Linked DNA regions of Canis lupus familiaris. The protein of the gene in region 2 purifies or fractionates together with the protein of the main gene of each other region. This does not show direct contact. Links are inferred from orthologs where the notes say so. Each region holds a gene or a part of one and is shown on either strand. Other genes may lie near its edges. The genes, in order: NUDCD3, KLHL22, EMC7 and NIPSNAP2.

The links.
Region 1: the proteins of KLHL22 (region 2) and NUDCD3 purify together in Homo sapiens (co-immunoprecipitation; 3 studies listed by BioGRID and IntAct, counting the BioPlex papers as one, with this or other methods). This does not show direct contact. The link is inferred for Canis lupus familiaris from reciprocal best matches to the Homo sapiens genes KLHL22 and NUDCD3.
Region 3: the proteins of KLHL22 (region 2) and EMC7 purify together in Homo sapiens (co-immunoprecipitation; 3 studies listed by BioGRID and IntAct, counting the BioPlex papers as one, with this or other methods). This does not show direct contact. The link is inferred for Canis lupus familiaris from reciprocal best matches to the Homo sapiens genes KLHL22 and EMC7.
Region 4: the proteins of KLHL22 (region 2) and NIPSNAP2 purify together in Homo sapiens (co-immunoprecipitation; 3 studies listed by BioGRID and IntAct, counting the BioPlex papers as one, with this or other methods). This does not show direct contact. The link is inferred for Canis lupus familiaris from reciprocal best matches to the Homo sapiens genes KLHL22 and NIPSNAP2.

Annotation. Positions count from the first base shown.
Region 1 is NC_049237.1:14,198,284-14,205,572, forward strand, and holds part of NUDCD3 (nudC domain-containing protein 3), read left to right. Parts: intron 1-4,185; coding exon 4,186-4,318; intron 4,319-7,289.
Region 2 is NC_049247.1:30,433,976-30,441,264, reverse strand, and holds part of KLHL22 (kelch-like protein 22), read left to right. Parts: intron 1-2,420; coding exon 2,421-2,586; intron 2,587-5,172; coding exon 5,173-5,891; intron 5,892-7,289. UniProt on the Homo sapiens protein: Substrate-specific adapter of a BCR (BTB-CUL3-RBX1) E3 ubiquitin ligase complex required for chromosome alignment and localization of PLK1 at kinetochores.
Region 3 is NC_049251.1:1,220,798-1,228,727, forward strand, and holds the start of EMC7 (ER membrane protein complex subunit 7), read left to right. Parts: upstream 1-2,794; 5' UTR 2,795-2,888; coding exon 2,889-3,121; intron 3,122-6,965; coding exon 6,966-7,085; intron 7,086-7,930. UniProt on the Homo sapiens protein: Part of the endoplasmic reticulum membrane protein complex (EMC) that enables the energy-independent insertion into endoplasmic reticulum membranes of newly synthesized membrane proteins.
Region 4 is NC_049227.1:360,497-368,302, forward strand, and holds the start of NIPSNAP2 (protein NipSnap homolog 2), read left to right. Parts: upstream 1-3,422; 5' UTR 3,423-3,486; coding exon 3,487-3,578; intron 3,579-3,916; exon of another isoform or gene 3,917-4,041; coding exon of another isoform or gene 4,042-4,049; intron 4,050-7,806. UniProt on the Homo sapiens protein: Protein involved in mitophagy by facilitating recruitment of the autophagy machinery required for clearance of damaged mitochondria.

The DNA.
Region 1 (7,289 bases), on a different chromosome or scaffold from region 2:
ATTGTGACCTGTTCTGAAATCAAGAGTTGGACACCTGCCCAGGCACTCTGACATTGTTCTTTTTTGATGTCCTGTCTTTGGCCAGCAGGGGCCCCTTGGGGGCTTGTGTGTCCCTTTCTTGGGACCCTCCTCATCTTGAATGGTATCCTTTCTCAGGACAGGTGAGCTCAGGCTTTGGTTCCTGTGAGATGGGTGTGAGCCACTCCCATCTGGGAAGACCGACTTCCGGTAGATGCTAGGTGGAGAGAAAATTATTGAAACTGGATTTAAAGAGTTGAAGGGTAGGATACACAGCTTGTCTCCCCTGAGTGCCGCAGAGGGCCAGGAAGCCTCCCTTCCTCGGAAGAGTGGACTGCTAAGCCTGTGTCCTTAGGCAGACTGACTTTCAGGTGGGAATGCATTGAACCAAGACCAAGTGTGAGGGGACAGTGACCCCAGGTAGGAGGGAGACAGTGGGTGTCAGCGAGGCTTCTGGACCGCACAGACCTGGTGTGCAGGGTCCTGAGCCTGGAGCATGGCCCCCGATGCCATGGGCTCCCACTGTTCCAGGAGCTGGGAAGAAATGGGGGGGAGGAGCAGGAGGGTGAATGCGTGCTGCTGGGGTGAGAGGCTGTGAGCAGGTGGGTCTACCTGCTGCAGAGCCCTCTGGGCGGGTCACTGTGCTCAGACTCTGCAGCCCCACCCTTCCTCTCCAAGCTGCACGGGGAGCATGGCGGTCATATCTTGGCGAGACGGGGCCTGTGGACCCACTTCTAGGAGGACTGGTCCTCGTGAGGCTCTTGAAGCAGGGCATTAGCCTCCAGGGTTGGGCTCACCTCTTCCAGCTTGGGAAATACAGGAACCCAGAGAGGAATCCCTGTGTTTGTACCTGCTGTGACACCCGTCTGGGAGCCGAGGTGGTGGGACCAGTGAGCAGAAGGCCGGTAGGAAAGGTAGAGGTACTCGGGGAAGGGAGAGGTTGAACTGCTTCTGTGTGTGCACGCTCAGGCTGCACATGCACAGGCAGGCCCTGGGTACACTCAGGGGAGCCACCCCCACTCCCAGAGCCTGGGGAGGGGCCTGAAGGCGGCCCCGTGGCTCCCTGTAATACACCGTTCCCATGCCCCATGTGCAGTCAAGCCTTCTGCACAGAAGCATTTAGGTTGGGCTGTGACCCCTTCACCCACCACTTTTCATCCTGGCCACTGCTGTTCTGAACTGGGGAAGGCAGGAGGCCCTTCAGTTCCTGCCAGGCACAGGGCCATGGAGGGAGGGAGGGAGGGAGGGGTGGGCTGAGCAGAGTTCCCACCTGTGCAAGGTGGGGCTGGCTGGGGCCACCCGCACTAGCCTCCGGAGCCTGGCCTGGCTTTTCCTTTAATGCGATCAGAACCCTGCCATGGGCCTGATGGCCTCTTCAGACGTGGGCGCTGCAGGGAGGCCTGGCTGCTGACTCATGCTCCCCCCCACCCCCAGTGTACTCCCTGGCAGCTGCAGGGGTGTGGCTACAGGCCTGTCAGGGATGACAAAGCGAGGGGGCCCAGAGCACCTGCACATGACAGGAGGCTTATTTTTACACATTGTTGGCTGGAAATAACCAACTTTATTTAAAGAGAATGTGGATTCCAAGTGTTAAAAAAAAGCACCCAGCAGTGTGCCTGGCTCTGTGGGGAGGAGGCTGCAGGGTCCACTCGGGGTGAGCCAGCCCAGTGCCTGCCTAGCTGCCCCGCCCCGCACTGCAGTGTGACCAGAGCTCCTCTGTAAGCACCCAGCTCCGGGACAGCTCCTTCGGCACAGCTCCACAGGCGCAGGGTGGCCCCTCGAGCAGATGTGGCCTCGTGGCATCTGCTGTGCATTATGGTTGTGTGTGGACACCGGCTGATAGGGGCTCAGTGCAGTGTGTGGGACATAGCCATCCCTCCACTGTGAGAGGTCTTGAGGTTTATTTCTGGATTTGTGCCAAGCGCCAGCCACGTTGGCCTTTATTTTGTATGTTTATTTTTGTGTTCCTATAGCTTTGATGATTTCAGGTAGTTAATATGCACATTTTTAAAGGCCGTGCAGTTAGGCTGAGTCTCCTGGCTCCATGCTGGTCGGGTTTGCTGGAGCTTGTCCATCTGCTGTGAGCTTTAAAGCTTCACTGGCTGCTCAAGCGGGTAGGGGATGCAGGTGCAGGTCCTGGCCACCCTGTCCTGCTGTGCTGGTCTGGTCTCCCTGGGCTTGCTTCAGGTGTCAAGGTGTGAGCAAGCTGGTATGGTCATGGGAGAGCTCCCAGTTGTGGGGCCATGGCACAGATTGCCATCTCCTGTCTTGAAGAGCTGTTTTTTCTCTTGATCAGATGTCCATTTTGGGGCAAAATTGAGTAATGGCTAAAGGTACAGAGAAGAGAAGCAAACTGCTCTGACTCCACCACCCAGAAACCCCACAGACACTCACCAGGCTTGTGCCTGGACACGTACACGCACGTGTGCATTTCTTTTTAGGGAACGGGCCTGGGGGCCGTGCTCAGAGCTGTGCACAGAGCTGTGCACAGGTATGTACTGTGGTGGCCCTGCCCGGGATGCCCTGCCTTGACCTCTCCTGCCTCTTCCACCCTACTCTGTGGGGCTGTCTTTCGAGCTCCCTTCCAGACTGGGTAGGGCCCTCCTGGCCCCTTTGAGCTTCTGCAGAGGCGGACAGCCCTCACCTCCGTGGCCCGCAGCTGCATGGTGGTGCTCGCAGCATCATCCCTCTGTGTGCATCTTCGCGTCCCGGTCTCCCCCTTGAGAAGGACACCGAGTGGATCAGGGCCCCCGACGACCTCATTTTAACTTTGAAATAAGGCGTTCTGAGGTGCTGCTGGAGGTTAGGATAACAGAATTTGGGGTATCACACTTCAGCCCTTGATGGCAGCCAGTTACTAGCCCCAAGGGTTGGACTGTGATGAACACCCAGTCTCACATAGAAAGCGTGTGAGGCGTACCTACAGGAGTTAAACTGTTCTCATCCGAGATTGGGGGCTGATGGGGTGTGTGCATCTTCATCTGTACACATGAAGACACACAGCAGGCCGGGTCTCCCCATGGGTGTGTTCATGGGGCTCCCTAAGGGCTGGAGAAGGCGGCCAAGCTGCACTTGTTAGTATGTCCTCCTCCACGACTGGGCTTCTGTCTTTAATTAATTTTTTTTTTTGAAGATTTTATTTGTTCATGAGAGACACAGAGAGAGGCAGAGACACAGGCAGAGGGAAGATGCAGGCTCCATGCAGGGAGCTCGATGGGGAACTCGATCCCGGATCCCAGGATCGCACCCTGGGCCAAATGCAGATGCTCAACCACTGAGCCACCCCAGGCGTCCCCTGTCTTTAATTTAGTTGTAAAATTCCCCATAGTGGGTTTGTGAGTCCACACTTATTTTTATAATGCTATTTATGCTCTTAGCAGCAGCCTGACGTTTAACAGCAAATGTTTTGCAGTATTTTACTTGTAACATTGCTTGGCCAGGCCTGTCTGCCTCTGTGCCGGGCTGGCCCCGCAGTTAGTGGGGTGTGGCTGGTGGATTTCCAGGCATGCTACTCACCTCTTAGAGCCTGTGGTTTGGTGTGCAGTGCAGTATTTACCAGGAGAAAGCTGGAATTGTGGTTGGGTTAGGGTGCAAGCTGAGAAGTTGTGGCTGAAGTTGGTCTACGTTTTTGTGAAGACAGGCCTTGCCGAGCAATTTGTGAGAAAGCAGGAGCCTTGGGTCTTTATGACCGAGGTCCTGTGGTTGAGGGACTGGCCTGCTTTCTGAGCCTGGTGAAGTCTGGTAGGCCCAGCTATGCTGTGGGCCGCAGCTGTGGACGCTGCCCCCCAAGCTGAGGGTACAGCGCTTAGGGGCTCTACAGAGTGTCCCTGTGTCCCCGTGGTTTCCTGGGAGGCCTGAGACTTAGGTGGAACTTCTCAGGAGCTGGAGACCATCTGTGGTCAGGACTCCCGCATGGGGGCGTGCATGGGTGTACGGTGGGGGACCCAGGTGTGCGGTGGGGGGCCTGTGACCCAATCAGCTGTGTGGGCCTGGGTGCATGGGGGAGCTGGGTGCATGGTGGGCGGCACAAGCGTGTGTTGTGAGGGGGCCCACGTGTGTGGCCGGGGGGCCTGTGGCCCAATCAGTTGTGGGGGGCCCAGCATGTGATGGGGTCGTGGTCCCTCGCGTGTGGGCCCAGGTGCCATCTCACCTATCGCTCTTCCCCAGGAGGCAGGAACAGTTCCAGAGAAACCCTGACAGCTACAATGGTGCTGTGCGTGAGAACTACACCTGGTCTCAGGACTACACCGACCTGGAGCTCAAGGTGCCGGTGCCGAAGCACGTGGTGAAGGGCAGGCAGGTAACCACGGGGCTCCCTAGGCTGGGGTCTCCACACGCGGGGTTGGGGGTGGGCTGTGCTGGAGCCGCTGGGCCGGTCTCCGCGTCCCCCTGCAGCCACGGCCGCGCCCCGCCAGCCTGCTGTTGCGCTCGGGCGCACCTGGTGGGTGCTGGATCTGTCCCATGTCATCCTGTGGTGCGTGGCCGGGTGTCCGCACAGGACACCGCAGGGGAGGCGGGGCGGCCGGAGGCCTCTTCCATAAGCAGGTCAGGTGCACGTGGGCGCCCAGGCTCTGAGCTCCCGCGTGGGGCGGGGTCATGGCCGGTGGGGTGGGGGCGCTCACAGCTCCAGTCGCTCTCCCCATCTCCCGGAGCGCGAGCGGAAGTTGAATCTTTCAGCAGCATAGAGAGGTTTCCTCAGGAGCCGCGCGCAGAGCGCCATTGTTGCAGGGTGTCACAAGTAGGGAGGCTTCACTTTAAAGGAAACCCTGTGGTCTGTGAAACGGGACATCACTTTATTAGAATTCCCCCACCATACACCGCGTCCTGGCTATCGGCTTCCCAGGGGCCCGGAGCCGCAGAGCATGCAGCACCTTCCATGTTCTGAGGGCGAGGGTGCGCTGAGGGCTTGCTCGTCCTCTGGTGACACGGGGACTGCCGCGGCCCCCCGCTCCCACCGCGCCCAGACTGGGTCTGGGGGCCGATGGCTGTGTGCAGCCGGGCCGGGCGCAGGGGCCTGAGCCTGCGATGCTCCTGCTGCTCCGAGAGCCGCGCTGCAGGCAGCCTTCCCAGAGAAGGCCCAAAGCGCGGGAGCAGGATCTCGTGCGTGAGGGGCACCGGCGTTCTCTGGAAATGAGCCCCGTGTGAGGTGGTGCCGGGCCCTGCAGATCCGGTCATGGGTGAGGCGGGCTGGGCAGCGGGGAGCCCTCCAGGCCCCTGTCTCCAGGCCGGCCCAGGCTGCCCGGGCTCCTCCAGGACAGGCGCCCCTGTATTCAGGGCCTGGCTGGCGCCAGCCGCCCCCAAGGGCGGCCTAACCTGGCACGGGCCTCGCGGCTCCGTGGGGCTGCGACTGGCTGTCGGGCGTGGCTGCCCGTCTCCCGTCCCCTCCCTTCCTGTCCTGTCTGAGGAGATCTCACCAAGGCTCAGGGGTCCCTCGTCAGGCCGACTTTGGGACCCCAGTCAGACCCGGTGGCGAGGGCTCGTCCCAAGGTCTGGCTCAGGTGACCGCGGCCCCTCTGGTGCTGGTGGTCAAGGGCGGCTGGTGCAGGCCAACCCTCCTGGGGGTCCCATGCAGGCATCTTGGGGCTCATGCAGAGCGGCTGTGGGTGGGACTCCTGTTGTGGTGGGACTGCCCTGTGCGGGTGAGGGAACTCTGTGCAGCGGTGGCTGTGGACACTGCTGAAGATCGTCACAGCTCCCTGGTCTGCTCTCTGTCTGACTGACCCGTCATCTTCTGGAGCTTTCTCCCAAAGGACTTGCGTCCAGCTCGGCCTAAACTAGTTATTTTCTCTCTGACTCTGGGGACCCAGTGACATGCCTCTCCTGCTGTCGCTGCCTGAATGCGCTCTGCTCGGCCATGGGCACTGGATTACAAGGTCCTGCTGCCCCTCAGCGCATCGCCTGAGGCACAGGCCGTTGTACCTCGGGGTCACATCCATGCCTCTCACATGGGGCGTCGCAACCTCGGGGACAGGTCCTCACTTTCACTGAGGGCAGCCCTAGGGTTCGCCGCCCGGGACCTCTCCTGAGGATGCGAGGGTTCCCGAGGCTGGGCCAGGACTGCTGCTCTGGGCTGGCAGTCCGCGGGCTTGCGCCGCGCAGCCCCCCGGCGAGTGCTGTGCTGCCTCAGGCCCCACCTGGCCGCGTCCTCCCGGCCCTCCGGCCCTCAGTCCTGTGGCCGCACCAGGAGCAGTGATGGAGAGGGGCTTGCTCGGTCCCCACGGGCGGATGGGCTGCAGGGAGCACGGGAGCCGGGAGAGCCGTGGTCCCCGTGAGCGCAGGCTTGTGGCGCCTGCCGGCATGCTCCTGTCAACCTGGCTGCGTTGGTTGTGGCGCCTGCCAGCCATGCTCCTATGCTCCTGTCAGCTGGGCTGCGTCGCCGACCTGAGGGGAGGGCCTTTGCCTTTGGTAGTATTTTTTGTTTACATTACTGTTTCGTTTTGTTTGGTAATTAAAGTGCAGTTGAGGGATCCCTGGGTGGCGCAGCGGTTTAACGCCTGCCTTTGGCCCAGGGCGCGATCCTGGAGACCCGGGATCGAATCCCACGTCGGGCTCCCGGTGCATGGAGCCTGCTTCTCCCTCTGCCTGTGTCTCTGCCTCTCTCTCTCTCACTGTGTGCCTATCATAAATAAATAAAAAATTAAAAAAAAAAAAGTGCAGTTGATGTACCAGCTTCAGATGCCCAATGCGGCAACTTGCTCCTGGTCTGCGTTAGGTCTGGGGAACGCCTGTCACCTCCCTCCAAGGGGTGCCTCTTGTGGTGAGAACTTAGGACTCACTTAGTAACCCCACAGTATGTGTTCTTCCTTCTCTTAAAACTCTGGGGTCTCTCATGTTTTTAGTGATCTAGGAGTTTCAGCCGTGACTAACTTCAAACTTTGGAATAGATGTATTTCGTGTCTCTTGGCTTTTGCTGGTCTAAGGGCTTTTTCCCTCAGAGTTGCGCCTTCTCTCTGGACTGGCTCCCTCCGGCTCTCCCCTGGGGTGCCTGTCATAGCTCCCTGTCAGCAGTGTTTATTTCTGGGCCTCGTCTGTGGCACCTGTCAGATATCGTCGTGCTGATAGCTGTGGTGGTGGCAGCTCAGTGTGGAAGTCCCCGTTGGGGTGTGGGGGCAGTGGGCTGCGGGTAGCTGTGGGAGGGCTCCTGCACCCCGAGTCTCCCACCGGGGACTCCAGAGCATTGCCTCTCCTGGCTGACTTTTTGTAGAAACAGACTGTCAAGTGTGGCAGAGGACAGGACGGAGCATGTGCATAATGTGTGATGTGCAAGTGTC
Region 2 (7,289 bases):
ATATTTTTTAATGTTACCTCAGAGGGGGGGAAAATGTCTAAGTTTGTCATAAAACTCGCAGGCATGAAAATGAGAAATTTGTATTCAAAACAGACAAAATTGTACATGGCAGAAAGCATTGTAAAATCAAAAGATCTGAGGTAGGAAGAAAATTTCAACTCATCCACAAAAGGGCAGATTTCTTCAAAGTGACAAGAGAGAGTCTAAGAGAAAATGGACCAAGAATCTGGACTGTTCGAAAAAGAATATAGAAATGGCACTTTAAAGGGCACCTGGTTGGCTCAGTTGGAAGAGCATGGGACTCTTGATCTTGGGGTTATTGAATTCATGACCACATTGGGTGTAGAACTTACTAAAAAAGAAGAAATGACACTTAAACATTTGATAAGATTACCTTCTCATTCATTATAAGGTTCCTCCTTAGATTGATAGTATGTAGGCAGTACTATCAAAGTATAGATGTATATAAACCCTGTGTCCTAACGGTTGTTTTCATAGGAATGATCCTGACAGGCACGTAAGCAAAATGTCATGGTGGTAAGGCCCTCTATCAGGTGCAATAATGGGAGATTAGAAGTAATCCAGGTGGGGGTGCCTGAGTGCCTTGGTCAGTTGAGTGTCCGACTCTTGATTTTGGCTCAGGTCATGATCTCGGTTGTGAGATCAAGCCCCACGTCAAGCTTTGTGCTGAGCAGGGAGCCTGCTTAGGAGTCTCCCTCTTCATCTCTAAGGAAAAAAAAAAAAACAAAACAAAACCCAGGTGTATTATAGCAGCGGGTTATATCAACCATGATAGTTTTTACAAGAAGAGGGGCAGCCCTACATGTACCAGTAAGGAGCCATTTCCAAGATGCATTGTTATGATGTGATGTAGAATATAAGGTACATGGACTGAACTGATGGCCTGGAGCAGAGCAGAGGAGGGAAAAATAAAATGTAAAAACAGCTACGTTGTCCTCTATGCATGGCTGTCATATTTCAGCCCTGCTGCCTCCCCTGACAACCAGCCTCTTCCCTCTGAACAACTTATTAACTGGCTCACCTGGGATGCCTCAAGGTATCTCACTGATGGTGACTCTGACCTCACTCTCTGACCCTGTTCCTCCCAAGTCCCTGTCAGCTCAGCTAACCCAGCCAAGGGCCCTGGTTCCTCCAGTGTTCTCCCAGATTCAGTCCTTCAGCATGTTCTTTCTGCCACCAGGCCCTCCCCAGGTCTGCAGGAACCCTCTTGCCTGAAAAGTCTGCTCACACCAGCCTCCTGTGTAAAATTCCCCAACAGCGCTTCATAATATGCTTGGATTTCAATCCTGACTCAGTCTTGACCTGGGGAAAGCAGAGACGTGGCCCTGTCTCACCTGCTCACTTCCTCTTTGCACTGGCCTGGCTGCCTTGGGTACTGAACTCATCCCTGCCCCAGAACTTGGGCTCCTGTCTCCTCCACCTGGAATGCCTTCCTCTGGCTGGTGAGGTGCCACCCACCTCCATCTCGGCCTGTCCCTGCTCCTCATCACTCTCCAGCTGCTCCCCTCTCCTAGCCGGGTGCTCCTAGGTTAGATGCCCTGTTGTGCTTTTTCCTAGCATTTCCTCACTCAGAAGTACCTTGTTCTTGTCCTCCTTCCTAGCATCACACTCTACATAAGTAGGAATCTTACCACTTTACTTGACTGTTACTCCTTTTTTTTAAGATTTTATTTATTTATTCATAAGAGTGACAGAGAGAGGCAGAGACACAGGCAGAGGGAGAAGCAGGCTCCATGCAGGGAGCCTGATGCGGGACGTGATCCCGGGACACCGGGATCAGGCCCTGAGCTGAAGGCAGACGCTCAACCACTGAGCCACCCAGGCGTCCCTTGACTGTTACTCCTCTGACTCTGAATGGTACTTGGCGTTTAGTTAGGAGCTCAGTTAATATATTTGGAGTGGAGTGACTTGTGTTACATGTTTTCCTTTCATTCATTTATTCATTCATCCATTTATTCATTCCTGACATGCTCTGGGCTGCTGCTGTGATCCAGGAAGCATATAGATGGATGTACCAGAGAACAAGCCAGATGTCCTTGACTCCAAGAGGCTCACGTGCAACACCCTGCAACACATGAAACACAGATGGTGATTTCTAGGATAGCTGTCCAAACTTGGTCAGGAGCTTGTGGGCACCTTCCGTGGCAAGACTCAGTTCTCAGAACACACACCAGTGTTCTGTTGCACATCACTGCTGGGTCAGCCTGCCCCCAGCTCCCTCTCACTTTGGTGTCCTAATTGATACAGATTTGCCCGACATGGGGCTTAAACCCATGACCCTGAGATCAAGACCTGAGCTGAGATCAAGAGTTGAATGTTTAACAGACTGAGACATCCAGGTGCCCTTATGATTGATTTAGATTGATAGAACAATGCTGTTTTGTGTTTTTACTTTGCAGAGGAATGTTTGCTGGGGGACTGAAGGAGATGGAGCAGGAAGAGGTCCTGATCCACGGTGTGTCCTATAATGCCATGTGCCAAATCCTGCATTTCATTTATACCTCCGAGTTGGAGCTCAGCCTGAGCAATGTCCAGGAGACGCTGGTTGCCGCCTGCCAGCTGCAGGTGAGGCTGCCCTCGCTGGAGCAAGGCAAACCCAAACCCAGGAGGTGATCCCCAGGTGTCTGCCAGGTAGTGGCATGAGGGGGATCAGCAGGCAAGGATACCAGGTGGCAAAGGAGATTGCAGGTGGCAGAGGCTCTTGGGTGGTGCATGGCTTAGCCAACCCTGGGCACTGAAGCATAGCTGCTCCAAATGCCTCCAGGCAGGCTCCTCTGCTTTTGCTTTCTGCTCTTCTGCTGGTTCCTTTCCTTCTGCCTGGGTGTCCCCGCCCCTGAGAAGATCCTGCACATAAACATGTGGGCTGACCCCGAGGCAGGTGTGTGATGTCCTGCATGCCCCAGTGTCTAATGAAGCTGAACTTCTCCCACAGTTCCCAAGTCCTTTCTGCTCATCCACCCAACTTGACTTCATCCATCTCTTTGAAACTACTTTCTTTTTTGTCATTGAATGTTGGATGCTTGTTCTTCTATAGAACTCAGGAAGTCTTCTGAGGCTTTGGCAGTGTGACCTACGTTTTAGAAGGCTGTATTACCTCAGTGGTGCTGGTGCAGCCACATGAGGGCTGGGCCTGCACGTGCCTTTTGCTTTCAGTAGCTGTTGTCAGATAGCCTCACCTGACTAGAGAGACTTCTCATTTTACATTTGTTGAAAGTGGAAATGAAATGCTATGCCGAATTCATTATCCTGACCTTTTTTCAGGTCAGAACACATTTGGGGCCAGAAAAAATATGTCAGGAAAACCAACCTGTTCAAGGGTGTCTGGAGGTCCCACACTATATGGGAGAGCCCCAGCAGTTCCCTGCACTGTCGCTCTCAAATGGGCAGGTGGGAGGCCCTTGGCCTGTGCTTGTTGGGTTGGCTCACCATATGCAATGAGTAGATGGAGTTGAGACAGTGCTTCTGAGCACTTTAGCTAATATTTCTGAGGCTATTGTGTGGATAGCATGGGATGAAGGAGCCCCTCCTTACCAGTTGCAAGTCCATAGGCCCTATCATGGTCACGTTTGTGTAGCCATTGATTACATGCTCCCCACGTGCTGTGCTTTGAACTAGCTTAGGATCAGTAGACTGTTTGTGGTGTCCCCAGGACCTGGATCTGAATCCCAGCAAGACTGTCACCACTGGGTAACCCCCAGCAAGGGTTCATTTCTCTGAGCCTTTAATGGGGTTCCTGCACTGGGCAGGCCTGGGGTGATTCCTTGTGAGCTTCCCCAGCAGAGGGCCCACTGCTGTGACAATGAGGATGGGAAGAAGAGAGTGACACGAAGCAGTTCTTCAGGAGCTGCTTGTCATGCCCACTGAGGACTGTTTGCTGTCACTTTCTACCCAGAACCTGGCCCTCAGTGTCCTGGCCCATGACAGATCAGAAGTATTTTAGGAAGAAGAGGCAAAGCAGAAGTGCCTATCGAGGAAGAAATGGGTAGTCAAGACTTTCAGGACCTAACAGCACTATGGGGACGTTCCATGTGGGGCAGACAGACGCATGCCTGGCACTTTACAGGTTTCCATTCAGTCCTTCCTAGCTTATGACCTGGCAAGCATAGAGTATCTTTGGAATGAGAAAAAAATAAAGATAAAGAGATTTTAAATGTTTATTAACAAGCCTCACACCAGCAGAATTCTCTGTGTGTTCTGATTAATTTGTTGGTAATGAGTGAGGCATTCTCATTTTTAGTGCATTTTCAAAATCCTGTTTTCCTAAAGAACTTAGCAATGCCTGGGCAGCTTTCCCTAGAGCCCTCCTCTCTGCCTCCTTCACCCTGCCATGCTCTGATTGTCTAATCATGGGATAACCTCTAAGCCCGGGGCTCACTTCTCATCTCCCGCCTCGGCACCCTTCTGTCTTGCCCTTCTTCCAACTCACTGGTTTTTCTGCACAATTGGAAGAAGGCAAATGTCACCTGGAACCCCTGTGCTAGCCAGAGTCATGCAGGCCTTTCCCCAGGCAGGATGGCTTCCAGCCTTTCAAGAACTGTCTGATGTTGCCAGGAAGAGTGCTGGGCGAGCATCTGAAACACCCTGCTGGCAGTTCTTAGCTCGTGGGTGGTTCAGGATCCTTCTCCTGGGGTGGGATCCCTGGGCCTGCAGCTTTGGCTCAATCTGCAATTGTGGGGGTTGTGGCAGGAGAAGAGAGCTGGATATCTTGTAGAGAGCCTGCAGAGGGGCAGGCACAGGTCTCAGGTGCCATCCAAACCAGGGTGGCTGATGTGGCCACTGTGCTGCTTCCTGATTCTCTGAAGATTCACTTCTTTTGATCTGAAAGGGTCCACTCCATGCCAGATACTTTGGGGTGCAGTCTCATCTTCAAATTTATTCCTCTCCACTTACAGAGGAGGAAACTGAGGCTCAGAGCAGTTAAAAAAAGCGACTCACAGGTCGCTTCGAAGCCTGGTTTTAAACCCAGTCAGTCTGCAGTGAGCCCCAGTCACCTCTTCAGTTGGGGGAAAGCAGCCGTGCCAGGGAAGGACAGGGGTGGTGGAGGGGGGCCTGCTGTAGCCAACAGCTGTGTGTCTGCTGTTAGCCTCAGGCTCCCTCACCCAGACACATTCTTCCCAGCCTGGGCTTGAGCGGGGCTTGTTCTCTTCACAGATCCCGGAAATCATTCATTTCTGCTGTGATTTCCTCATGTCCTGGGTGGATGAAGAGAACATCCTTGATGTTTACCGGCTGGCGGAGCTATTTGACTTGAGCCGTCTGACTGAGCAGCTGGACACCTACATCCTCAAAAACTTTGTGGCCTTCTCACGGACTGACAAGTACCGCCAGCTTCCCCTGGAGAAGGTCTACTCCCTCCTCAGCAGTAACCGCCTGGAGGTCTCCTGTGAGACCGAGGTATATGAGGGTGCCCTGCTCTACCATTACACCCTGGAGCAGGTACAGGCTGACCAGATCTCACTGCACGAGCCCCCCAAGCTCCTTGAGACAGTACGTTTTCCCCTGATGGAAGCTGAGGTCCTCCAGCGGCTGCACGATAAGCTGGACCCCAGCCCGCTGAGGGACACGGTGGCCAATGCCCTCATGTACCACCGCAACGAGAGCCTGCAGCCCAGCCTGCAGGGCCCTCAGACGGAGCTGCGGTCGGACTTCCAGTGCGTCGTGGGCTTTGGGGGCATTCACTCCACGCCATCCACTGTCCTCAGTGACCAAGCCAAGTACCTGAACCCCCTGCTGGGAGAGTGGAAGCACTTCACCGCCTCCCTGGCCCCCCGCATGTCCAACCAGGGCATCGCGGTGCTCAACAACTTTGTGTACCTGATTGGAGGGGACAACAATGTGCAGGGCTTCCGTGCCGAGTCCCGGTGCTGGAGGTAGGCGGGAGTGCTTGGCTGAGACTTGGGCTGTGGGTGACCCTGTGGTGCGGGAGCCATGGGCTCAGGAGGCTGCTTGTGGAGTGGGCTCTGCGAGGGCTGAGGCACTAGCCTTTTAAATTAATCTTGTGGCTTGTTGGGGTTAAAGTCGAGGTTAATTTGGAGAGTGCAGGCTGTGATGAGGCAAGGAAGAGGAGACTGTGCATGCTTGCTTTCACTCTTTTCCTCTTCTCAAACCCACTTACCATAGGTCACCCCTGCTGTCCGTGGGTGAGGAGATAGGTTGTGAGTGACTGTGCCTTGGAGTGGCTGGGCACAGGGCTCCGCCTCAGAAGGAGGGGACCTAGTTGCCAGGAGCACTGGGCAGGCAGCTGCTCCTTCCATCTTGCCCTCTCCAGCTTTGATATGTCTCATCCCGGGCTCCATTTGCCCATCAGCTCTCTTAACCACAAGCCCCTGGTGAGGATGGCTTCCTGTCCTCCCTCCCTATTTTGTAGTATATGGTCCTCTGTCCAGGGAGCCCAAAAAACCAACAGGCATCACTGAACCAGATTTCACTACCCCTGCCTGCCCTGGTGTCAGGGGTGTTGCCAGGCATGGGGTCCCCCAAGGTCCTCTGAGCAGGCAGTTTTCCAAGAAGGTGGGGCTTACTGTGATGTACTCTATGTGCTTTTCTGTATGTTAGGTCTTTATAGGTCCTGGTTCATAGCTTCCAAAACCCCCCTTGGAATTTCATAAAAGGAGAACACTAATTTTGTCTTTTGTTATGTTAATGAGGTGGCTTTGGAAGCCCCTGAGTGTGAGTGGGGGATGGTCACCGGGAGAACCAACCCTGCCATTCAGAGAAGGGCCAGTGATTTAATCAATCAGTGCCTATGTAGTGAAGTTTTCATCAAAACCCAAAAGGAGAGGGTTGGGAGAGTTTCAGGGTTGGTGACCACCTAGTTAGAGGTGCTGGGAGAGTGATGCACGGGCCTGGAGAGAGCTTGGAATCTCCCTGCCCTTTCCCCAGACCTTGCTCTGTGCATCTCTTCCTGAGTATTCCTGATTTATATCTTTTTACAATAAACAGTTAATCTAGTAAGTGTAATGTTTCTCTGAGTTCTGTGAGCTACTCTAGCAGATTAATGAAACCCAAAGAAAGGGGGATCTTAGAAACCTCTGATTTATAGCTAGTCAGTCAAAGGCACAGCTTGGTGCTTGTAATTGGCATTTTGAGCTGGAGGGGGTCATTGGAACCTCATGTTATTAACTGGTAGGTCAGAAGCATAGATAATAGCCTGGGCTTATTACTAGCGTCTGAAGCGGAGACAGGCAGGATGGGGCGGTACCATCTTGTGGACTGAGCCCTCAACCTGTGGGGTCTGATGCTACCTCCAGGTAGATAGTGTTGGAATT
Region 3 (7,930 bases), on a different chromosome or scaffold from region 2:
TTAAATTTTATTTTTTTTATTTATTTATGATAGTCACACAGAGAGAGAGAGAGAGAGGCAGAGACACAGGCAGAGGGAGAAGCAGGCTCCATGCACCGGGAGCCTGACGTGGGATTCGATCCCGGGTCTCCAGGATCGCGCCCTGGGCCAAAGGCAGGCGCTAAACCGCTGCGCCACCCAGGGATCCCCATAACACCCTTTTAAAAAAGGAAATAAATACTACCTGTAAAACCCAGGCTCAACCTCTGCTGGTACAATCCAACATTTTAAGTGCCTTGTTGTTTTTTTTTTTAAGATTTATTTATTCATGAGAGACCCAGAGAGAGAGAGAGGCAGAGACACAGGCAGAGGGAGGAGTAGGCTCCACACAGGGAGCCCGACGCTGGACCCATCCCAGGTCTCCAGAATCACATCCTGGGCAGAAGGCCGGACTAAACTGCTGAGCCACCCGGTCTGCCCTAGTGTGGTTTTTTTGAGGGTTGTCTCTCTGTTCCTATCCTTGTTCACCCCCTTGTGGCCATGATATGAAGAAGCCAAGAGCTAGGCAGAAAAAAGAGAGGAGAAAGAGAAAACCAAAGGGCCTGGATAATAAACGGATCACCTCTCACTTTAACAGTATTTTCCATAATCAAGGTAAGTAAGTCTGTTCGAAATCTATATGGGTCAAGATCTTGACAGGAAATAATAGATGGAAGACTTGAAGGACTTATTGTAAATTATTCCTTCGTTGAACTTCTTCCAAGTATGGGCAGAAGTAAAGGAAACTGAAGTGTCCTCCATATACCTCCTCCAGAAGTCAAGGAACCAAGTTTTTGCAATCCTTCAAGATCCTGCCTTCTAAGGCACAAAGTAGAGTGAGGGGTAGAGTGCATCTGGCTGGACAAACAGAGTAGGTCCAGGACATAGTTTTTCTAAAATATTTCATTATAATTATACTTTCTTTTATAAGGCATGAGTTCAAGGGATACATTATGGAATTACTCTTGTATAATTTAGAGTTAGAAACCTATGCAGTTCCTACGGTTTGCTTGGCAAACACCAGCGGTCATAGAATTTCACACTACCAGAAAACATTCCTTAGTCTTCTCTATTCCAGCTGTGCCCATGGAGGTAGAAGCCTGGCATTCGAGGGGCTCAGATCATTAGATCCTTTGGCATTAGAGTGACAATAAGATAGGGGAACAAGGAGAAAGAAATTGAGAGCTCAGTTGCTGTTTGCTGCTGGTCCTCTTCCACATTGCCCCTCAAAAAAGTAAACTCCACCGCTCCTATATGGTATTAAGACCCACACTGGGGGCACCATGGGCTCAGTGGCTGAGCGTCTGCCTTCCGCCCAGGGCATGACCCCAGAGTCCCAGAATCCAGTCCTAGTCGGGCTCCCTGCATGGAGCCTGCTTCTCCCTCTGCCTGTGTCTCTGCGTCTGTGTCTCTCATGAATAAATAAAATCATTAAAAAAAAAAAGACCAACACTGATTACCTATTTTTTTAAATTTTTTTTAAATTTTTGTTTATTTATGATAGTCACAGAGAGAGAGAGAGGCAGAGACACAGGCAGAGGGAGAAGCAGGCTCCATGCACCGGGAGCCCGATGTGGGATTCGATCCCAGGTCTCCAGGATCGCGCCCTGGGCCAAAGGCAGGCGCCAAACCGCTGCGCCACCCAGGGATCCCCACTGATTACCTATTAATCAAATTAACATGTCTGAGACACCAGCAAAGCAGATCACCAAAAATATGTGAACATTTAGGGATGAAGCTATTTTTATTTTGGCATGTTTGTAAATTTTGTATCGTTCTTGAAAAGTGAAATTTTATTTCATGGTTTAGTACAGTTTTGACAGGAGGTGGTCGAGGGTAGGGCCATAACACATGATAACCTTTCTACAGTAGCTCTGCTTCTTCCAAGGATCAACTGTGAAGAAAGGGGGAAGTACCTCCGCCCGACAATTGCGGGCGCTCCCGAGGACAGAGCACGGGTGGCCGCGGATACCGCGTCTCTAACCCTTGCCAGGGGCTCAAGAGTATTTGGCTCTTCCATCCCTTTTCCCAATTTTTGTTACTTTTCTTCGGGAAGCTAAGTCTAAGAGTTCACAGAACAGAAACACGCATTTCGCTCGATAATCTTCAACAGAAATGTGTCATCGAGAGCACAACGTTTATAACCAACAGAAATCTTAGGCAGAAGCCTTTTCTCTTTCTGTCATCAAGAAGGTGAAAATACTGGAGATGCTCTCTGCCATCTTAGCTTGGTTCCCCCGACCCCCGCCGTTGTTTACGGTAAAGCCCTGAAAACCGGGATCGGTGTCGTGCGGGTAAGCGGCCTTCAACCCTCTCCCTTTTCACCGGAGGCGACCCTCAGTGAACAGTCTGTGTACCTGCCCCACTCTTCTAGGCACAGACGTCATCCCCTTCGCACACAAGCGGGAGCCTTTGCATCTCGCACGTCTCGGAGCATCCCTACAACTTTTTAAGCGCTCTCTTCCGGACCCGCGTCTCCTGAAGCCGGGGCCTCATCTGCAGACACCGGTTCAGAGGGTCGTCGCTCTCGGCCTCACAGCCTCCCATTCCGGCGCGGTCCCGCCGCCGCCGCCGCCGCCGCCGCCGCCGCGCACAGGGCCGCACTGCCGCTCGGTGGGTGGAGCGACGACGGGACGCACCGACCCTCGCCTCAGACCGCCTTCCGGCCCCGCGCGCCGGAAGTACTTTGCCCCATTTCCGCCTCGCAAGCGATTGGCGCAAGCCTCCTTCCCTTGGCTTGGAGCCCACAGCTCGAGCCGGCCCCCGCCTCTTGCGCGCAGTGATGACGACATCGGCCGGCGGCGGCGGCGAAGACTGGGGGACGGTTAGGGCTTCCTGGGCTGCAGGCCTGGCTGGTGCGAGCTGCTGTCATGGCGGCCGTGCAGTGGGGCTTCGTTTCCCTCCTCCTGTTGTTGCTCTCAGGGGATGCCCAGAGCTCGGAGCTGCCTGGGGCTGCTGCCGATGGGTCAGGCGGGATTGGGGTCGGCACAGGAGACCGCTTCAAGATTGAGGGACGTGCGGTTGTTCCAGGGGTGAAGCCCCAGGACTGGATCTCGGCGGCGCGAGTGCTGGTAGACGGAGAAGAGCATGTCGGATTTCTTAAGTGAGCCTCCTGTGGGCAGCGGGAAAGCGGTTGGCGTGGACGCTAGAGAGGAATTGCCCCTACGCGAGCCAAGTATCGGAGGGCGAAGGGGTGGGCGCCGGTAGCGGTCTGTGCGGGGAGACCTTGGGGGGCAGCCCCGCGCTTCCCCTTTCCTCCCCATCACCCCGTTTCCCCGTACCTCGGAAGCGAGGGTGGCAGGTGCTTGTCCCAGGGCGGAGCAGGGGGGGTCAGTTTTCTTCAACTCCGTTTTTGCCTTGTTACGGGGTCGACCACTCCAACCGCTGAGCCACCCAGGGGTCCCCGAATCTGGCCACTTTTGCATTCATTTCTGTCTTTTGGCAGCTTGATGTTGTGTAGAAATATGCTGAGCGAGTGGGAATTCTCAAAGCCCAAAGGATTTCTATGATGGCATAGACTGGGAGGCTAATGTTGCTGCTTCTGAAAATAATGGGCCCTGAAGTCCCTAATCAAAGCACCTTTTTTTTTTTTTGCCTGGAGGTGGGATTATTCTTTTTTTACAGTTGAATTCATCGAGGGATTTGCAACATTACATTTGGGGCATTTGTGTGAGACTGGGGTTTCTCCATATTTGCTAACATGGTTCAGTCTTTTCTAGCTCATTGTAAAAATGGGATTTCAACTTCTATTAAAGAACGTGGTGAATTTATTAGCACTCCAGTTTTGCAGTAACCTGCTTTTCAGATGTTTAGACACAACTGTGATGTTTTAAGTCTTTCATTCGCTGCTTGGGGTGTGAAACTGAACTGAAAGAAAATATTTAGGGCAGCTCCGATGGCCCCGGGGGGTGATCCTGGAGACCCGGGATCGAGTCCCACGTCGGGCTCCCTGCATGGAGCCTGCTTCTCCCTCTGCCTGTGTCTCGGCCTCTGTGTGTGTGTGTGTGTGTGTCTGTCGTGAATAAATAAATAATTTAAAAATATTTAGGGGGATGCCTGGGTGGCTCAGCGGTTGAGCGTCTGCCTTCAGCCCAGGGCGTGATCCTGGAGTCGTGGGATCGAGTCCCACATCGGGCTCCCTGCAGGGAGCCTGCTTCTCCCTCTGCTGTGTCTCTGCCTCTCTCTGTGTGTCTCGCATGAATAAATAAATAAAATCTTAAAAAAAATAAAAATATTTAGGAAAAAGTGTTTTCCTGACTGGTTTGTATACCAGCAAGTGGTATTTGAAAACCAGACATCGTAAATATGGATCTTTCTTTCTTTCTTTCTTTCTTTCTTTCTTTCTTTCTTTCTTTCTTTCTTTCTTTTTTGGACGTTTATTTCTAAATCTGATTTGCAAATATTCAGATCACCCGGGTGCTGTTGAATTAGAATTTGAATCTCAGATTAATAATGATGAGAAGCTAGTCTTTTTTTTTTTTTTAAGATTTTATTTACTTATTCATGAGAGCCATACACACACAGAGAGAGGCAGAGACACAGGCAGAGGGAGAAGCAGGCTCCACGCAGGGAGCCGCAGGTGGGACTTGATCCTAAGTCTCCAGGATCACTCCCTGGGGGAAGTCAGCGCTAAGCCGCTGAGCCATCTGTGCTGCCCGAGAAGCTAGTCTTAATGCTATTTGTTTTTACAAATCTGGCGTTAGGGCGTTCTTTAGGGTTTGCCTCTAATGATGTTTTAATGAAGAAACTCAAACCTTGGGAATTGGGGATCCCTGGGTGGCTCAGCAGTTTAGCGCCTGCCTTCAGCCCAGGGTGTGACCCTGGAGACTCGGGATCAAGTCCCACATCCGGCTTCCTGCATGGAGCCTGCTTCTCCCTCTGCCTGTGTCTCTGCCTCTCTGTGTCTCTCATGAATAAATAAATCTTTAAAAAAAAAAAAAAACATAAAGAAAACCTTGGGAAATTAGCCTAAACTGACCACTTGGCTTCTCTTTTCTGTGGTATATAATTCTTTTAAGAAGCATTTATAATTTTTGTTTTAAAATAAGGTATAAGTTATATGTTTGTTGAAGAAAACATAAACAAGAGGTAAGGGATAAGACAACATTTTATCGTATCCTTTCCAGCCTTTTTGTAATCATATGACCTGTTTTTAATAGTAAAATACAATATATAGTACTCTGTAGCCTTTTTTTTTTTTTCCACTTAATATCTTGTGAGCAGTTTATGACATCCTTTCATGTTCTGGCATTTGTATATAGAAATGTTAAGAATTAAAAAAAAAGAATATGAAGAGCTTATGGTGGGACTCTTGTTGGAAGAGGGATAGTAATTTGTCTTATACCTGTTATGCATAACTACAATGCCATTTTGACTTATAGTTCTGCTTGTTGAGGGTGGCTTGGGTCTTGGCTAATGGAGGTGAGGGTTTTGACTGAGGATGCTTCATGCCACTTCTTGCTCTCATCACTGTGTATATAAAGCATAATTTACACTCCAGAATAAATAATTCAAGGGAAGTCTAATGAAAGGATTAAACAGTGTAGTCATGGTGTTAGGGAAACAGCCAGGTTGTGCAGTACTCTGGAGTTTACAACCTCAAAGCCACTGTCACCTCTAAGCCTGAAGGAAGTAGGGGAAGTAAAGGTTACTGGGGCAGGAAAGGACTGCCGCAAGAGGAGCTCTGCCCTGTGATGGAGCAAGTCAGAGATGGCCTCTCAGGGAGAGAGCTGAGGAAAAATATGCTAAGCTCATTTTCTTTCCTTCCGGTCTGCAAAGAGGGAGGAAAAGGGTGGAGAGTGGGTCTGAAGGGCCAGTGAAGACCTCCAGCCCAGGAATAAGTTAGTTTGATGTTTACATTTCAATTCTGTTTTAGTTTAGTGTGTACTTTGAAGTAGCAAGGAGTATCTTTTCCTCCTGCTTCTTTGTAAGTATTGTGAATGTGGCAGAATCAGTTTTTTCTTTAGCTATGAAAGAGCCTAATGATTTAAGAAGCATTATTCAATGTATTATACTAGGACTTCTTTGATAAAACAGATTTTTTTAAAAAAGATTTTAGTATTCATGAGAGACGCACAGAGAGAGGCAGAGACACAGGCAGAGGGAGAAGCAGGCTCCATGTGGGACTTGATTCCAGGACCCCGGGATCACGCCCTGAGCTGAAGGCAGATGCTCAACCACTGAGCCACCCAGGTGTCCCTAAAGCAGATCTTTTTAGGATCATTTGTTTTCCTGAAACAGATACTTCTTTTTCTTCAGAAGGTCAGTTTCTCATTATCAAAACAAATTAATTTTGATTGTAAACCTGAGATTATCAACTCTTCGTGGGATGGTTTTCTAAGTCTAGAAGGTAATAGAGGAAATCGGGAAGAAAAGGCAAATGGTTTTAACCACATAAATCTATTAAACTTCTATATATCCAAACAAAAGTAACCAAAGTAGATGGGAACTATATGTAATATGTGGAACAAATGGTGTTTGATGACCTTTTTCTTAGAAAGACAACAAAATGCAAACAAAAACTAGGAAAAAGCCATTACATTTTAATTAAGGAATTGTTGCAGGAGGTTGGCAAAATTGAAACCTTAATATTGTAGTAATAATGCCTATTGATAATTTCCCTTGAATGAAGACATGGCTTCAGAATTGAAACAGTACCCTCTTTATCAGCTGTCCCACAGAAGGAATTAGAAGTGCTTTCTATGTCAGGATTCTCTGCTCCTGTGGAGTGCTCAGAGTTGTCAGAATCCTTTCAGTGTGATTGTGGAAGCTGAAGCATGGGGACAATTCTTGCCAGTTTGGGTGTTTTTTTTGTTTCTTGTTTTGTTTTTTCTAACTTCTGTGTCATTTGGAGGAGCTTGATTTAGGAGTTAACAGATGATTTAAAACATAAGAAGAAAGCAAGCTGTTGATCAGCAGTATCCAAATAATGATTTTCATTTTTCCAGGACAGATGGGAGTTTTGTGGTTCATGATATACCTTCTGGATCTTATGTAGTGGAAGTTATATCTCCAGCTTACAGATTTGATCCTGTCCGAGTCGATATCACTTCAAAAGGAAAAATGAGGTAAGAGCATCTGATTTAGTTTTTACAAAAGGCGAGGATACCAAATACCTCCTATATTGCTTTTAGAATTTATAGTTAGGGTTGAAAAGTTTCTCATGTAAACTACAGATATTCCATGAAACATCCTTACATTATCTTTAATATTAAGTTTTTCCCCTCTGCCACCTAAAATATCCTTATATTATTTTAATCTGAGTATTGGTAATATTGCAAAGTTGAACTTCCTCCTGCTCTGATTTAAAATTTATTTTAAAGCTCCTAATATGATTATAATAGAGAAGAGGCAAGATTACCTATCATGAGAGCAAAAACTCTGAGGGTTATAATTGCAATATGATTATTGAAGTGGGAAATAATTTAACTTTTCTAAATTAGAAATATTACTACCTGTTTTTCATTGGAGTATCTTGATAATACCTCTTAATACCTATTTAATAGTTGTATTGATCTAGAAATTTCTACAGTTCTTCCTTTCTGAAATATTTAGAGTACATTGGAAATTTAGTATTTTTTAGGCAAATGGTAGATTACATTGTTTAGTTTATCTCAAAGTAAGGATCGTGATAAGAAAAAAAGCACAGTATTAGAGGTTGGCAGACTAGGAAAAATTTCAAAATTTCTAAGTAGATGAACATATGCTTTGAAGTTTAGGTGAAAAGAATGCTGGACTAATTCAGGTTGTGAGTATGGAATATCACAAATCCGTTTGAAGTTGGAATCCCTTGTGTAGATGTCCACAATTATTCTTTCTGTTATAACCCCAGTTATTTTTTTTTATTGTCCCATACCAGTAATATTCTCTTTGGTCTAATCTGACCAGGAAGTATATGAAACGATTTTATTTA
Region 4 (7,806 bases), on a different chromosome or scaffold from region 2:
GGAGGTATGTGCATGTTTCTTCATAGCAGAGAGGCACTTGGTGGGTTGGGGGAAGAAATTAGGATAACTTCCCGGAAAAGGCTAGATAGTGCTTGAATGGAATCTTAAAAGAACAGTCTCCAGGCTAATAGGTGAGGGTTGTGGAAAGGGCATTCCAGGTGGTGTAAAATCCTGAAAGTATGAGAGAAAGGAGCATAACCAAGGGGTTCTGCAAGCTGATGACGACTGCTGGGATATTTTAAACATGAGTGGAGTTCAGGTAGAGAAATAGGTGGAAATTATACTGTAAGTGGTTGTGGGTTTTTTACATTTTTAAAGAGAATGATATAATTAGATTCACACCAATAAAAGTAATAGCATCGGTGTAAAGAATGGGACTGGAAGGGGAAAGATTAGAGGGATAGACAGATCTGTTCAAAGATTAGTCCTAAGATCAAAACTGAACTGGGTGAGGAAAGAGGAAAAGGGTAGATGATGTTCCAACAAGCAAAAGAGTGTCTAGGTCCAGTGTTAAATGGAACCTGTTATCCCGGAAAAAACAGGACACCTGTGCAAGCCATCTCAAAAACCTCATATTTAAAATGCTTATATATACTCTTTTTTAATATCTTAAGATATTTTTCCTAATAATCTTGGTGTAAAAATTATGTTCCAGGAATATGCCCTGTATTTCTTTAGTGGCATTGAGTAACCTAAGCTGTACACCTGTGAGATAAGAGTACTTCCCCATCCCCCGCCCCACCAGTAAAAAGCATTGGGTTAATGGTCCTCCAGAGCAAGAGGATAGTGGAGGGAAAAATGCAGAGTAAGTGGCCTAATTCTAAGTAGCACAAAAGCAACATCAAGAAATATTTACCAAGCTTACATCTCAGGAAAAAAAATTTTTTTTTCAGGAAAATATATTTTAAAGCATTGGTCTCTTAAAAAATAGCTGGGAAGTTGGGAGAATGTGTGAGAAAGTCACAAAGGGTACACCGACATCACTGGCTTGAAGAAGCTTGCTTCCTGCAGTGGAGGATTGGGACATATCCTTTCTGCTCTGGGGAAAGCTCATTTTGGCCTCCCTTTTGGGTCTAACAGCTTTGCTTTTTTTTTCTTTTCTTTTCTTTTCTTTTCTTTCTTTCTTTCTTTCTTTCTTTCTTTCTTTCTTTCTTTCTTTCTTTCTTTCTTTCTTTCTTTCTTTCAAGATTTTATTTATTTATGACAGACAGAGAGAGGCACACAGGCAGAGGGGAGAAGCAGGCTCCATGCAGGGAGCCTGACGAGGGGTGGATCCAGGGTCTCCAGGATCATACCCCGGGCTGAAGGCAATGGCAAACCGCTGGGCCATCGGGGCTGCCCTGTCTATCTGGGTTTCTTAACCAGCTCACTAAGCATAAGCCAGTTGAGATCAGGAACCCGCTCAGCCACACAGCCTCTGGTCTCTTGTCCTGTGTCCCTTGGTCTTTTTTCCAATGGCCTCCAAGAGATATGTATGTCCCCGGTCTGGAGCAAATCCTTGCCACTCCTCCATCCACCGGACCCTTTATGTCCTCCATGGTGGCTCCCTGACATTATTAACATGTTCAAATAGTCCTCCAGTCAGAAAACTCCAATGCTGCCTTTGCCTCCAGGAAGCCCAGCTCCTGCCCCCACCCCTCTTAGGCAGAGGCCTGCCTGGATCACAGAGACATCCCAGCTTCGCAGTCCTGAGGGCAGTTTCCTCTTGGCCTCCGCAGATTTGGACTGCCCTCCAAATGCTCCCCTCAGCTGGGGCCTATTCCCTGTTTCTCCCCCTTCTCTCACTGACTCCCTTTCTGCCTAACTTGTCTTGGTTGCAGCTTTCAAGGTTACATTTGTGGCTTTTATCTTACCCAGGATACATTTTCCATAAATCGTGCCATCATGACCTACTTCTTGGCCTGAGATGCCCTCCCTTCCATGGGTCAACTCGTGTCCCCTCAGTGCCCTCTCTCATGTTGCCTCTTGTGAGCCTCTTTCTGCCAACACCTGACACACTCGGCCAGTTGTTGGTTTATATCCTGCCCTAACAGATGGGGGCGGCAGCACCAACCAGGCTTGGGATGAACGGGAACAATGTAGTCCCCAGACCACAAGATAACTTGAATATCTTTACATCCAGAATGATTCTTTTTAATTTAAATTCAATTTGCCAACATATAACACCAGTGCTCATCCCATCAAGTGCCCTCCTTAGTGCCTGCGACACAGTTATCCCATTATTCCCATCCACCTCCCCTTCTGCAACCCTTTGTTTCCCAGAGTTAGGAGTCTCTCATGGTTTGTCTCCCTCTCTGATTTTTCGCACTCAGTTCCCCTCCTTTCCCTTATAATCCCTTTCACTATTTCTTATATTCCCCATATAAGTGAAACCATATGATGTTTGTCCTTCTTCGATTGACTTACTTCACTCAGCATAATACCCTCCAGTTCCATCCACGTCGAATCAAATGGTAGGTATTCATCCTTTCTGATGTCTGAGTAATATTCCATTGTATACATATAGCATATCTTCTTTATCCATTCATCTGTCGAAGGACATCAAGCTCCTTACACGGTTTGGCTGTTGTGGACGTTGCTGCTATGAACATTGGGTGCAGGTGTCCTGGGTTTCACTACATCCGTATCTTTGGGGTAAATTCCCAGCAGTGCAATTGCTGGGTGTAGGGTAACTATTTTTAACTCTGAGGAACCTCCACACAGTTTTCCAGAGTGGCTGCACCAGTTCACATTCCCACCTACAGTGCAAGAAGATTCCCCTTCTCCACATCCTCTCCAACATTTGTTGTTTCCTGTCTTGTTATTTTCGTCATTCTCACTGGTGTGAGGTGGTATCTCATTGTGGTTTCGATTTGTATTTCCCTAATAAAAAGCAATGCGGAGCATTTTCTCATGTGCTTGTTGGCCATGTGTATGTCTTTAGAGAAATTTTTGTTCATATCTTCTGCTCATTTCATAACTGGACTTATCAAACTCAGCACCCAAGCAACAAACAATCCAGAACGTTTTTTTTTTTGTTTTTTTTGTTTGTTTGTTTTAAGATCTTATTTATTTATTCATGAGAGACACAGGCAGAGACACAGGCAGAGGGAGAAGCTGGCTCCATGCCGGGAGCCTGACGTGGGACTCGATCCCAGGACCCAGGATCAGGCCCTGGGCCGAAGGCCACGCTAAACCGCTGAGCCGGGCCGGTACTGTACAGTAACGTCTGCTCATATTTCTCCTGCGCAGGCGGGTCACGACACCCAGCTTCTTCCGCAGGGGGCGATGTCCTCTCCTGCTTCGCCGTCAGTTGCCCCTGGCGGCCCCGCCCTCACCCCGGCGGCCCCGCCCCGCCCCGCCCCGCTCGGCGGGCCCCGCCCTCCGCCCCACCCCCGCCTCGGCGGGCCGGCCGGGGGAGGGGTCGCGGTGGTGGCCGTGGGGCGGCGGCGGCGTCGGCGGCGTCAGCGGCGGCCCGCGCGGCGGGAGCCCAGGCGCCAGAGCAAGATGGCGGCGCGAGTCGTGCAGGCCTGCGGAGCGGCCTGGGCCGGCGGCGTCCTGCGGCGGGCCGCTCCCTGCAGCCTGCAGCCTGCGCTCCGGTGAGCAGCGCTGCCCCTCCCGGGACCGGCCGGGGAGTGGCCGCCAGGGCGGAGGGCGCGGGTCCACGGCCCGCTAGCGCTCCCTCGAGCAGGCCCGCCGGGGCAGCGGGGGCCGGGCCGGGCCGGGCGGGCGGGGCGGCTGAGGGCCTCGGCACAGTCAGAGCGCGGTCCCGGCCGTCGTGCTCAAGGTCACGGCGGGGACGGCGCCCGGTGCCCAGGCCACGTCCGCGCGCCGTGTGGGCCTGGCCTGGGGGACCTTGACCCGGCGCGACCCCAGGCCCTGGACTCGGCATCCGGCTGCCCGCGGGCGCCCAGGGCGGGCTGTGCGCAGGGCCTGGGGTCCGCTCTGCGAGGGCGCTGCGGACAGCACGAGCTCCAGGGGGAAGAAGAGCGCCTGCCGGTGAGCCCCGGGAGCGCGGGGCCGTCGCGGGGTGGGCTCGACGCTGCCGGCCGCCGGAGTGGGATGGAGAAGTAGGTGACGGATCAGAAAGGTTTTACAAGGCATCAGCCCCAAGTAGGCCTTGGGTTCAACTTTAAACTTTTTCTAGCCTCTGTGGATTAAATATTCGGCTCTCCTGAATTCATCCCTCTGACACATCCATGTCCTGTTTTCCATCAAAAACCAAGCTCCTACTGACTTACATAGATTTGCTTTCTTGCTTTCTTTACATTTATCATTTAAACGTTATCTGTGGTTTAATAACGAGCCTCTAGAACTAAATTCAGTTGCTGCTTAACGAAAGAGTAAAGGGACTGCCTGTTCTTTAAACTCTTATTATGGGCCAGAGAGTTTATTTAATTTAATCCTAGTACCAATCTTAAGTAACAGGATCTGCATTTTATAGATGAGACGTAATCTCCATGGAGGTGAGACCTCTAGCTGGAAAAGGCATTTGAACTCAAGTTTATCAGGCTTCAGGCCTGGCACCCTTCCTAGGACTGATGTCCAGCTTGAGTTTCCAACTTTTTTTTTAAAGATTTATTTATTTATGATAGACACAGAGAGAGAGAGGCAGGCAGAGACACAGGAGGAGGGAGAAGCAGGCTCCATGCCAGGAGCCTGATGCGGGACTCGATCCCGGGTCTCCAGGATCGCGCCCTGGGCCAAAGGCAGGCGCCAAACCGCGGAGCCACCCAGGGATCCCCCTTGTGTTTCCAAATTTGATGTTTATGTTTCCAAGTTGATGAACAAATCAACCTTTTATTTTCATTCTGTTACTGAGCATCTGCTGTGTGTCTTATTTTTTTTCACACAGGTGATAAGAAACTATGAAATTCATATTTTCTTTTTTCCAAAAAGACCCAGCATATTCACCTATAGATCCCATAGTCACAAAACTAGTAAACTGGAGATTTGGACCTGGGTCTGCCCAGTACCCCCACTTCTTGTGGGGCCAAATGCTCTTGAAACTGAAGCCCAACATGTCAGCTCTTGGATTACTCTCTCAGGCCCCTTGTATCTTTTGACTGCCTTAACTGTAGATGTTCTTTAGGACTCAGTCTAGACCCAATTAATTCACTGCTTCTACAAATACTGAATGTATATGAATGTATATGTTTTTGAAGTTTTGTGGAACTCAGCATAATAGTCACTATGGGTCACTATGCCCAGCAAGCCATATGGCAGAGGTAAAAACCCATACAGACTTAAAGATTGAGGTAGGTGGTGTGAGAGAACCTCAGGGAACCTACCACATGAAATCATGGAAGGCCTCTCCAAGAAGGTGCCGTTGAGCTGAAACCTGAAGGGTCAGTGTGCAGGAAAGCCCTGACTGGGAAGGAGTGAGGCATACCAGCAAGCTCCAGAAAAGCCTAGGAAGGGGAGCATAGTAAAGGGAAGAGAGGCTAGAAGACAGGTGGCAGGGAGCAGTAGCCCCATAATTCCAGGCCTTGCAAGCCATTTTAGAGAGTTTGGAATTTATACTGAAAGCCATGGAAGACATTTAAAGATATAAATTCTAGTGTGACAGGATCTGGCCTGTGTTTTTAACATACCAGTCTGATTTGGAAAGCAGACAGAATCAAGGGTCGTGGCCAACTGGGCAGATGCTGGTGCCATTTCCTGAAAGTCCCTTGTTCTATAGGCATATGAGTGCCCATAATGTGCCAGGTGCTGTTGGGAAATATCAGTGAATAAAGTTGTTGCCATCTGGGAGCTTGCTCCTAATTCAGAGAAGGAAGAACAGGAAGGGGGAATCCAGAGCACTTCTGAACCTGGTAAAGTTGGAGATGGCTGTGAGCTATTCAAATGGAAAGGTATTTGGCCTATTTGATCTTTTTGACTCTTCAAAGGAGATGTCTGGACTACAGGTTACATTTGGGAGTTGTCAGTATATAGGAATGCTAAATGTTGATAGATATGTAGGTTTTGTTATACTGTTTTGCATTTAATTGAAAATCTTCTTAACAAAACATTATTCATAGGAATGGATGAGATTGCTTGAAGAGTGTGGATAGAGAAAGGGCTGAGAGGGATCCCTGGGTGGCGCAGCGGTTTGGCGCCTGCCTTTGGCCCAGGGCGCGATCCTGGAGACCCGGGATCGAATCCCACGTCGGGCTCCCGGTGCATGGAGCCTGCTTCTCCCTCTGCCTGTATCTCTGCCTCTCTCTCTCTCTCTCTCTCTCTCCCCCTCTCCCCCTCTCCGTGTGACTATCATAAATAATAAATAAAATCTTAAAAAAAAAAAATAAAGACCAGCATATAAGAATTTAAAAAAAAAAAAAAAAGAGAAAGGGCTGAGAAACAGGCTTTGAGATGTCAACCTCCACAGGCTAGCCACATTATGGAAAGAGCCCAGATGTCTGTCCACCAATGAATAGATAAAGAAGATGTGGTATATATGTACACTGGAATATTAGTGATCATAAAGAATGAAATCTTGCCACTTGCAACATGGAACTGGCGTGTATTATTGTAAGCAAAATAAGTCAGAGAAAGACAAATATGATTTCAGTCATATGTACAATTTAAGTCACAAAACAGGGAAGAAAAAATAAAATGAGATACAAACAGGCAAACCATAAAAGACTCAGATATGGAGAACAAAAAGGGATGGGCATTAAGGAGGGCACTTGTTGGGATGAGCACTGTATGTTATATGTAAGTGATGAATCACTTAATTCTACTTTTGAAACCAGTACTACAATTGAATGAAATTAAAACAACTTTCACAGGCTAAATGTAGGAAGGAGAGGGAGCAAGGGGAATGTGGGAAAGCCAATGAGGTTGCTGTTTGTGGCAGTGCCCAAAGGGAGGTATTTCAACGAGGTGGTGGCCAGCTGTGCCAGATGTTGCTAAAAAGTAAAGATGACAGAAGACTGGATTTGCCCGCAGGGATCCGTGTGTGACCTTGCAAGAGGGATTTCAGAAGGGAAGGATGCTGTCTTCCCAGGAGATATATGCTAGCACCGCTTACCTAGCTCTGCTCAGTGACAGGCCTGGAGTTGCATTTGCTTCGTGGACATTACACTAATGTCCTGCTTGAGATGCTTACTGTACCCAGAATTTAACTCATCTGCCTCCTACAGAACCTGCCTGTTCTTCCTGGGTTCTCTCTCAAGTACTGGCCCGTCTTCCATTTCGTGGCCCCAGGCCCACCATCTCCCAGCTAGACACTTGCCAGATCTGTCAGTTCTACCTCCAGCATGTCTTGGCTCTGCCTTCTCTCTCACCATCTCCCTGGTTCCCTTGCCTAACTCTTGGCAACACTTGTCTGGAGTCCCATGAAGAGTGAGGACTTGAAGCTGTTGGTGAAGGGGGCAACTAAAGAATTCTGAGCAGAACTTTTTCCTATAGGAAGATGTCCAGTACATAAACCTGGGCTGGGTACTGCTCCCTTTTCTTTCCCATCCCATCCCACCCTTGCCAAGGAAAACTTATAACAGTTTGGAAACAACTGGAGATAGTTTAATGTATGAAGGGGACATTAGAATTATTCTTTTCCTCAGATGTGAGCATCGTACCATGGTTTTGTCTTCATTCTCAGGAGGTGCATGCTGAAGTATTTAGGGATAAAGTACTGTCATGTCTATACTCTGCTTTCAAATAGTTTGGTAAAAATAAAGAAGCAAATCTATATAGAAAATTTTAAATGATAAAATGTCACTTTTTTCACCTACATGCAGGATATAGAAGTCTTTATTATACTGTTCCTTTGTCTTTGTGAAGTTTTTTTTTTTTTTAAGAGTTTATTTATTTGAGTGGGGGGGAGGAGGGAGAAGCAGACCT